Linked DNA regions of Bombyx mori. The protein of the gene in region 2 purifies or fractionates together with the protein of the main gene of each other region. This does not show direct contact. Links are inferred from orthologs where the notes say so. Each region holds a gene or a part of one and is shown on either strand. Other genes may lie near its edges.

What was found.
Region 1: the proteins of E3 ubiquitin-protein ligase COP1 (region 2) and DET1 homolog purify together in Homo sapiens (affinity purification with western blotting; 11 studies listed by BioGRID and IntAct, counting the BioPlex papers as one, with this or other methods). This does not show direct contact. The link is inferred for Bombyx mori from reciprocal best matches to the Homo sapiens genes COP1 and DET1.

What each region holds. Positions count from the first base shown.
Region 1 is NC_085127.1:9,203,367-9,207,745, reverse strand, and holds the start of DET1 homolog, read left to right. Parts: upstream 1-1,447; 5' UTR 1,448-1,915; coding exon 1,916-2,236; intron 2,237-2,363; coding exon 2,364-2,489; intron 2,490-2,837; coding exon 2,838-3,055; intron 3,056-4,379. UniProt on the Homo sapiens protein: Component of the E3 ubiquitin ligase DCX DET1-COP1 complex, which is required for ubiquitination and subsequent degradation of target proteins. The complex is involved in JUN ubiquitination and degradation.
Region 2 is NC_085130.1:9,512,107-9,516,725, reverse strand, and holds the start of E3 ubiquitin-protein ligase COP1, read left to right. Parts: upstream 1-1,736; 5' UTR 1,737-1,878; intron 1,879-2,469; 5' UTR 2,470-2,473; coding exon 2,474-2,554; intron 2,555-4,619. Other genes in the region: PH-interacting protein, read right to left, coding at 726-785, 912-941, 1,018-1,076, 1,162-1,198. UniProt on the Homo sapiens protein: E3 ubiquitin-protein ligase that mediates ubiquitination and subsequent proteasomal degradation of target proteins.

The DNA.
Region 1 (4,379 bases), on a different chromosome or scaffold from region 2:
GTCTTTTATTTATCGATTGAGGCACTACGAAGTCTGCCGGGTCAGCTAGTACTCTTTAAAATACTCATAGAAGGTACTCATTAAAATCAACTGTGGGTAAATTTCTTTAAAATTAAATACTTATTACTCTGTTGCGGTTATTATTTTAGTGAAACTTTAACCGTTTCCACAGCGCACGTACTGGAAGCTCTCAAAAGGGAAAAAGCCCCGATTTTGAAACATTCTTCATTGGTGCTCTTATCTTAGGGTGATGTTATATAGCTTCCTCAATAAATGGGCTATCTAATACTGAAATAATTTTTCAAATCGGACCAATAGTTCAAATTTCAAGTTCAAGTTCAAACAAACAAACTCTTCAGCTTTATAATATTAAGTATAAATTTTTCATTTATAAAAGTTTTCATTAAAATTAAAATAAGACTTGACCTAAAGGTTTTAGTTACCAGGTCATGAAATCCCATAAAAAGCAGAGTATTTTTTTGTTTTTAAATTGTTACCTACTTTAGTGTATTAAAAAACTTTGGACGGATTTGCGTAACCAAAATATCACTGTTGAATTCACATGGACTCCAGCACATTGTGGAGTGGTGGGCAATGAAAAAGTTGATAATTTTGCAAAATCAATAAATAACTTGGGTGGCCAGATTAAAAATATTTCAATTCCATGGCAAGACCTAGTTCCTGATATTCGTCAACAAATTAATAAAGATTGGCTCGAAAACAGACAGCATATAAATGAAACCAAAGGTAAATGGTATGCTGAAATAAATAATGAAATCGGTATTAAACTCTGGTTCGCTAGGAGCAAATATTTCTGTAAAAGGAAGTTCTACACACAGATTTGTAGACTGAGATTTGGTCATTGCAAATTTAACGCTCACCTTTACCGAATGAAAATAACTTCATCACCAAATTGTAATAAATGCTCCCTAAATGAAGAACAAACTTTACAACATATTTTTTTCACATGTCCAGCTTTTAATATTCATCGCATCCTATTTATTGATAATACTGCAAGAGGTTTATAAGGATAGCATCCCGCCTTCTCTTCAAGAATTGCTTAAGTGCACTGCAAGTTTTAGAGCAGTATATGAATACATTAACTCTACTTTCGGAGACTTATAATGGAGAACACAAATTTTGACTTTATAGTCAGATTTTCCAAGAAACACGATTGCGACAACTCTCAACCGAAACAAATTGGTTTTTTTTTTATCTGAATAGACATTTACACGGATTTGAAAAATATTTATAAATGAAAAATACTAAAGAATTGGCTTTTTTGCCTTGAAACATAAAATTATATATGAAAATATTAAACTTAAGAATTGGCTGTATGGCTTAGTCCCATTGCCTTTCTCTTCGAGAAAAACCTTACTACTACTACTCATATTGATACAAACTCTCAAATATAATAAGTGTATAATCTATGGATACAAAGGTACATAAATAACGAAAGGACTTTTTGGCGGGAACGCGAGGAGTGAAGTTGTGTGATTTGTTTTATTTTGTCTATTTAGTGTTTCTTCGGGTTTAAATGTGTAATAATGGTGGTTTATTAACCGTTTAATATCTGTGAAAGTGCACAAATGTGGGAAAATGAAACAAAGCCGCTGGACGTAACTTCTCGGGATCCTCCAAAAAGTCCACTGAAAAATCTTAGTAAATTACCACCATTTTACTGAGATTAGATTTCATCTCATATCATCTCATTTAATTTCATCCTAGTTGATTAATGTCTCAAATTAATCATTTTCATTTCATTTCACTCCATAACATCATTTTTCATAAAATTAAGAATATAGATTAAAATAAGACATGACTTAAAGGTCTCAGTTACCAGGTCATAAAATCTCTTAAAAAAAAAAAAAAAAAATAACGAAAGTACTTTTAGAAATTAAATCGTGCCTTTGCAATGGCTTCTGGGAGTAGTTCGAAATTTATTTATTATGAGGACCCTCCACCCGGAGCAATCGACGAAAAGGAATTCTTTTGCACAGAAAAAATTGTACCTCGAAAAATAAAACCTCAAAATATCGTCATAAGATTAATGGAAAGAGAAATACACGGGTCACGGAAACCTGGATCGCATTTTCACGTTGTTCGTGAATTTTATCAGAATGTTTTTCCAAATTTAACTATCGTAAACGTTGAGAAACCTCCGTGCTTTTTGAGGAAGTTTAGTCCAGATGGTAAACATTTCATAGCATTCTCAGCTGATCAAACTTCTCTGGAGGTATGTTAATGTATGATGTTGACGTTTTATGATTTAAGTGTGTAATAAAAACAAACATTAACTTTGAGTAAATGCTGTTGGTTGTTTTTTTCTGTTTAATTTTGCAAATAGTAGATTTGTATTTCAGATCTATGAATACAGAGGTGCTTCTAGTGCAGGAGACTTAGTGGCTGGTTATCCAACTGACTTGCTTAATGCAGATGCTGATGCTCATCACAGAATTAGAACACATATATTTTATAGATTCTTTAAGGTATGATATATTGTGTCATGTTTTATTAATTTGTTTAGGTGTTCATATATTATTAATTATATAGGCTTACTTTCTCAATCTCTCTTTTAAAACAATACATCTGTATTGAAGAATACATCCATCTCAAGATAATTTATTTATATTGTAGTCTTAATCTCTAACAGTGGCTGTCAGTTTCGACATATATCCCTCTATCAGCCAGATATAGATACATAGTTACCCACAATTTTCTTACTGAACTGTACCAAGGAGACATGCAAGAAAGAGACAACCCTTATTGATTGCAATAATGTGATTTGATGGAATGATAAGAAAATGTCTATCTAAATAATAAAATTATCTTTATAGCCTAAGTTTACAGTGAATGTTTGTCAACAAAGAGATATCAGATCTGATCGTCTTGGTAACATGCCTGTGATGGAGCAACAACTCAACAGAGAATGCAGCTTGTTTACTGAAGATGGTAGATATGTAATAGTGGGATCTGCAGCACATATTCCAGATGACTTGAGACCACATTTTTATCACATTCACAGTAACAATGAAGCTGTCACGCCTACAATAAGGTATTTTTTAATCTGTAATATTATTTAGAGTCCGATACTTAATTTTCATACTCCCGCAGCATCATAGCACAGCTATTATTAGTTTTTTAAATTAAAAATATAGTAAGTGCAACATATCATAAAGGTTTTAATAAATTTGTCATGGCAAATTGAAGTAAGCTTAATTCATTATTGTAAGCAAAAAAAAAAGAACAATGTATAAGTTGTGCTGAAATCATAAATGTTGATTTCTTCCCCTAGGCCAAAACCGGTGGAATACAGGTGGTGAAAAATATATACCCAAAAATTTGGGATCATGATGTAAGAATTCATACATCAATACAATGTACATACATTTATATACATTAAATAATTGTTAGCAGGCAGTGTCTTGGCTATGGCATTGCAAGCCTTGAGGGAATTTAACTGCTTTCCAATAGGTCTTGCGTATGGTTTCAAAGGCAATTAAAATAATTTTGTAATCACAAATCTGAAAGATTTCTTCCAATTATTTATCGTTTTTTAATTTTATATTGCTTCGATGTGTGGACGTGCTCACAGTTCACCTGGAACCAGAGTCCATAGACATCAGAAACGTAAATGTCGCGACCCATCTTGAATTTTAATTCAGTTTTAAAATACAATGGCTGCCTCACCCTTATACCGAAACATATTACTGCTTCACGGCAGAAATAGGCAGGGTGGTGGTACTTACGTGGTGCGTGCTCACAAGACGCCTTACCACAAATAACTACGTAAATTTAAACTTTTGAGCATTTGACTTTTATTCGGAAATCATTCGTGAACATGCATTGCATGCATATTTCATATGAAAATTATTGGGATTCGAACACCGGTGTGCTTAGTGCGAGTTTTTTAACTTCTCGATCGCGTAAAAGTTAATTTATGGAGTTGGAACGCCCCTACGTTTGCCGCTACAGTACAGTCGCACCGCTCGATATGAATACACCTGACTTTAGGCAACGACGAGCTATTTTTTCCCAAACTTTTCTCTGGTAGCCTAAGAAGCTATTCCGGCTTCACGAATTCAGGACGGCAACTTCAATATGTGGAATATGCATTGAAATATAATTGTTTAGGTACCTAGTTTATATGTATGTGCACAGTTTCAAATTCATTTAAAAGCTTTGCCCAACAACATGAAGCTTTCGTTAACAAAGTGAGTTAACCGCCTGGTACGGCAGAGTTGTCTTATCTTAGAAGTTCTAAGTTAGAACTCTACCCAGCGGTAGCTTAGGTCGTAGATATCGCGCCACCACCGTCAAGCCAATGTTCGTATAGTGTTTTTAAAAATTGCGTCCAATCCTTTTTTGTTTAAATATTT
Region 2 (4,619 bases):
TGTGAGCCTAATAAAATAAATAAATAAATAAAACAAAATTAGGGGCTAAAAATAGTAATCGACATGCCTATAGGTAACAAAAAACTAATATAACATTTCTTTTTTTTATCTGCCTATGCGTCGTGACACTAGTCAGGCACGTGTTTCTCATAATTTAAGTCATCGACCTACACATGTACGTCTTCAGAGATAGTTTTGTTTTTAGTAGATGGCTATATGAAGTTTTCAAAAGTATTTGCGTAAAATATAACACACAAGCTTCCATCCAAACATCTCAAATTATATATCCAACCGGCCGACTGACTTATGGACTTTAAAAAGCGCGCCAACTGCTCTCGGCACTGTTCGGAGTATCGTCAGCCAATCAAGAGTCCGACGTGCAACCGAACGAAGTCGTGAGAGAGAACGAAATAGACGCCCGTTTCTATATGGAATCGCCCGTGTTAGACAGAGACAGTGCAACATTCTATTTGCCTACATTTCATGGCTCCACTGCATGATATAACAAAATTGTGCATTTTTGCAAAAAACTCAAAAATATTGACTGAAACATGCATGAAACATGTTTTTGTGGTTTCGACATTGATTATACAAACGTTCAGGGTTCCAATACATTTTGCGATTTTTCGTCGATTTCTTAAAATTTAATCATATCTAATCGCTCATTTCGATTAAAAACGTAAATAAACGATATCTCCTGATGTTTTGTTGAATGAAATACTCACAAGTTCCTCATAGGACTGTGTGTGTTCGGTTCCCAGCCAGTCCAGTCGCCGCGGCAGCACCTACACACAAGTGCAACGTTACGGACTTTCAGTCAGTTTCAGCTGTTTGACAGCGCTATCCACGTGCGTTTACAATCAAAACAAACCTAAGCTCTGAACCCGGCGCTAGGAAAAGCTCTAACTTACCTCGATCGTCTCGAGCTCTTTCAGCAGTGTCTGTTGACAAAAATACTCATTTTAGTCTAAAAAATCGTAATAAAGTGTAATTTAGAATGATCGGTAGTGAATTTACCTTTGCAGTTTCCTTAAGTGGACCACCAGACAGAAATTTCGCTATCAGAAAGTAGAGTTCTGAAATCGGAAAAGCTATCGTTATTAGACCTTGTACGTTCGAGATCGACACATTCATGTGTTATTTTCTGGGCTTATAGCCTACCTGGAATTACGTTATACTCTTCGTTGGATTCCTCCATTCTCCTAGTTTTTATTCCAACATAGAGATCTACACTTATTCATCACATTCACTGAAAATTCTTCGAAAACATTTCACTTTACATTGTTGACGAACAGATAATGCAACCCTTGGAATAATAGCAAAATGGCGTATGTTTCGTCGGCAAAACAGCTTGCACCTAGTTAACCACTCCGCTCAAACAGCCAAGCCGGTTTTACAGGCTAATTCGGTAGATGACGCTATAGTTCATTTAAATTTCTAGAAAATAATAATTTTAATCTTTAAATTAAATATATGCCGTATGTATGTACTTAATATTATTCTTTTTTTTCTTATTTGTGTACAGAACTTTTAAGTCTTCATTTTTACGTAGAATAGTTGACGTTGCCGGCCTTGACCCTATCTGACTTATTTTATTTTAATCGCTCGCAACACCTACAAAAGTAATGTGAACTATTTATGTGCGGGCGTTCTGCTTATAAGTCTAAGTCGCGATATCACGATAAAAATAATGAGTTTTGATGTTACTAAATACTCAAAGACTCTTAAAATTGTTTCTAACGTTAAGTTCCATTAAGTCACAACTGTGCAATAAAGCTTCGTTAACTTGTGCTTCTGTGTTCGTTGAAAACAAGAGAAGAACAGTAACCATCGAGCGATGCATCTTCGGTGATTTTAATTAAACAACATCGTATTTATGTAAGTAAACGTTACCACATTAAATTAAATAGATCGAAACATAGAATCATAAGACAAATATATATTTTTTTTTTATTTTCATGTTAAAAGTCTAAAAATAAACTTGTCTTAATTGTTTATTGACCCATCGCCCTGTCATATCAGCCAGTGGACGCTAGTGAAGTGAAAGAACATATTTAGAATGAGCCTACAGAGTAAAATCATTTTATCGCTGCGTTCGTTCGTGTGGTTTTGTCACTCAATATATTTACCACCATTGTTTATTCAAAATACTTTATTGATAGCAAAATAACATAATGATTGTTTGAAAATCTGAAAATAACATAGTCAGAAAGTCAAGTACACACTGAAGTAGCATTCTGCCTTCACTATAGTCATTTATTACTAAACAAGTATTAATTTGCTGGTAAGCAGTGGGAACAGTAGTACGTAGGATCTGGGCTGAGTATAGGTCGTTGTCAGTGATTGTATCAAATTCTTGTTCTGAGTAACAGTCGAAATAGTACCTTCTACTGCCTGACTCAATCAAAAAGCCTTAGCTTTGTTTAAATATTTGACAGAACATCAATAAAATATAATTGTGTATTACAGAGGAATGTCGGGTGCCGCAGCCAGCAGTGCAGGCTCTGGCACGGCCACCACTCTCGGAGGACTTGGCGGCTCACTTGAGGATAAGGTTTGTACTGAGGCAGAAAAACATGGGGTCAAAGGCTATTTATAAAAGTTTTAGAGACTTTTTTGCAACATGGGAGTTCGATTCTAAATTGGTGAAATTGTTTTTTGTGACTTCGGCTAATTCGTTGTTGATCGATTTGTGGAACTTCTTAAAGAAACCTTCGTTTTCTTCAGTCATTTTTTATTTAATGAATACACATATGCAGTGTGTAATCGAAGGAAATTATAGGTTAGCCGGCATAAGAAACACGGTGTGCACGAGACACTGCTCCAATACTCTATTTGAATGGCAACAGAGGAGCCATTTAAAATGTGGAAAAAATATTATATCAAAAAACTTCTTCAGATATTTGAATGGGGTAAACTCATTGAAGTTCATTTAAAAATATGGAATTGTTGATATTAATACTAAATAAAGTAAACATTTAATTACAAAGATAAATGTCATGCATTATGCTAATGTCACACCAAATAACATTTCATATATTATAGCCCTCAATATATTACACCAGGTGAATCAAAAGTATTCCAGAAAACAAAGACAAGTATTATAAAAATAGAGATGCATTATTTTTTTCTTTTTCATATAAAATGTATAAATCATCCCAGAGCTACCATTTTATTGTAGATCCACTAGTGTGTAAAATTACAAACTAAATATTATCAAAATCTGTGTAGGCATTTTTGTGACTTTTTTCCATTACCTATTCGCTGGTAGCCTAAGGGGGGCTATTCCGGCTTAGCACAAAAAGTCATTAAGATAATGAATATAATTAAATGAAGGCTTTAATTACATTATTGGTAATTACATTATTGTTATTACTATAAAAGATTGATGCCGCAGCTAATATGAAACACATCTTTACTATTCAGAACTTATTTATTACTACCTTAATCTTATTACACCACATTACATTACGGTATATATTATCTATTTATTCTGTGTATATATTTTCTATAATAATGTATGACTAATAGTACACTGCAATATACCTGCTATATCTTTATGTTTTCCAGAATTTCTGTAAGTTAATCAGTTGTCTGGAAGAAATCGTTTTAGAGATAAGATCGCCTATTGTACAAATGCATCTGTTTGTTAACTGTTTTCTAATGTTTTTATTTTTTTATTGCCCTTGTAGGTAGAGCATACGGCCCACCTGATGGTGAGTGGTTACCGTCGCCCATGGACTTCAGCAATGCCAGGGGCAGAGCCAAGCCGCTGCCTACTGCAAATTTTAATTGTGTTTTGGTGTGCAATGAAGTATGTTCTCTGTCTCTCTTTCTCTACTCTTATAGAACTACCAACAGTGTTTCTTACTGGGCAGATGGTACTTCTCCAGAAAGTTTTTTTTCCTACCTAAGCTGGTAGCTTTAGAGGGCTATGCCACTGTGACAAAGCGACTAGGTGAGCTCATAGAGCTCTAACCTGAAGAGGAGTAGTCAGTAAGGAGCCTTTGAACTGACTTCGTTTCTGTCATGTGTGATCACAAGCGCGTGTAATCCTTTGTTGGTAATGAGACAGGCAGTTTCATGGGCAATTTATTCTTAGTCTAGCCTAGCTGTCCACCTAGTAGTGCTGACTTCCTAGAGCGTCAGGGTCCATTATCATCAAAAAGATTGAAGGCCATAAACACTATTTAGTGATGTACAGATTCTAATGCACCCAACCGTGGGTATATGTAATAAAATGTAATGTAAAAAGGAGTATCAGAAATGTATCTGCAAAAAATCATTATTATTACAAACTAGCAGACCCGGCAGATTTCGTAGTGCCTCAATCGATAAATAAAAGACCTAAACTTTTGTATAAAATAAACTTAAAACAAACAAAAGGAATCCGTCCGACGGAGGACACATCAAAGGAAAAACAAAATTGTTATTTTTATTTAATTCCGAACATTTTCATATTTATCTGCCTTTTAAACCTTCTCTGGTCTTCCACAAATAATTAAAGACCACAATTAGCCAAATCGGTCCAGCCGTTCTCGAGTTTTAGCGAGACTAACGAACAACAATTCATTTTTATATATATAGATTTTGATTTAGAATAGAGAGATTGCAAGTTT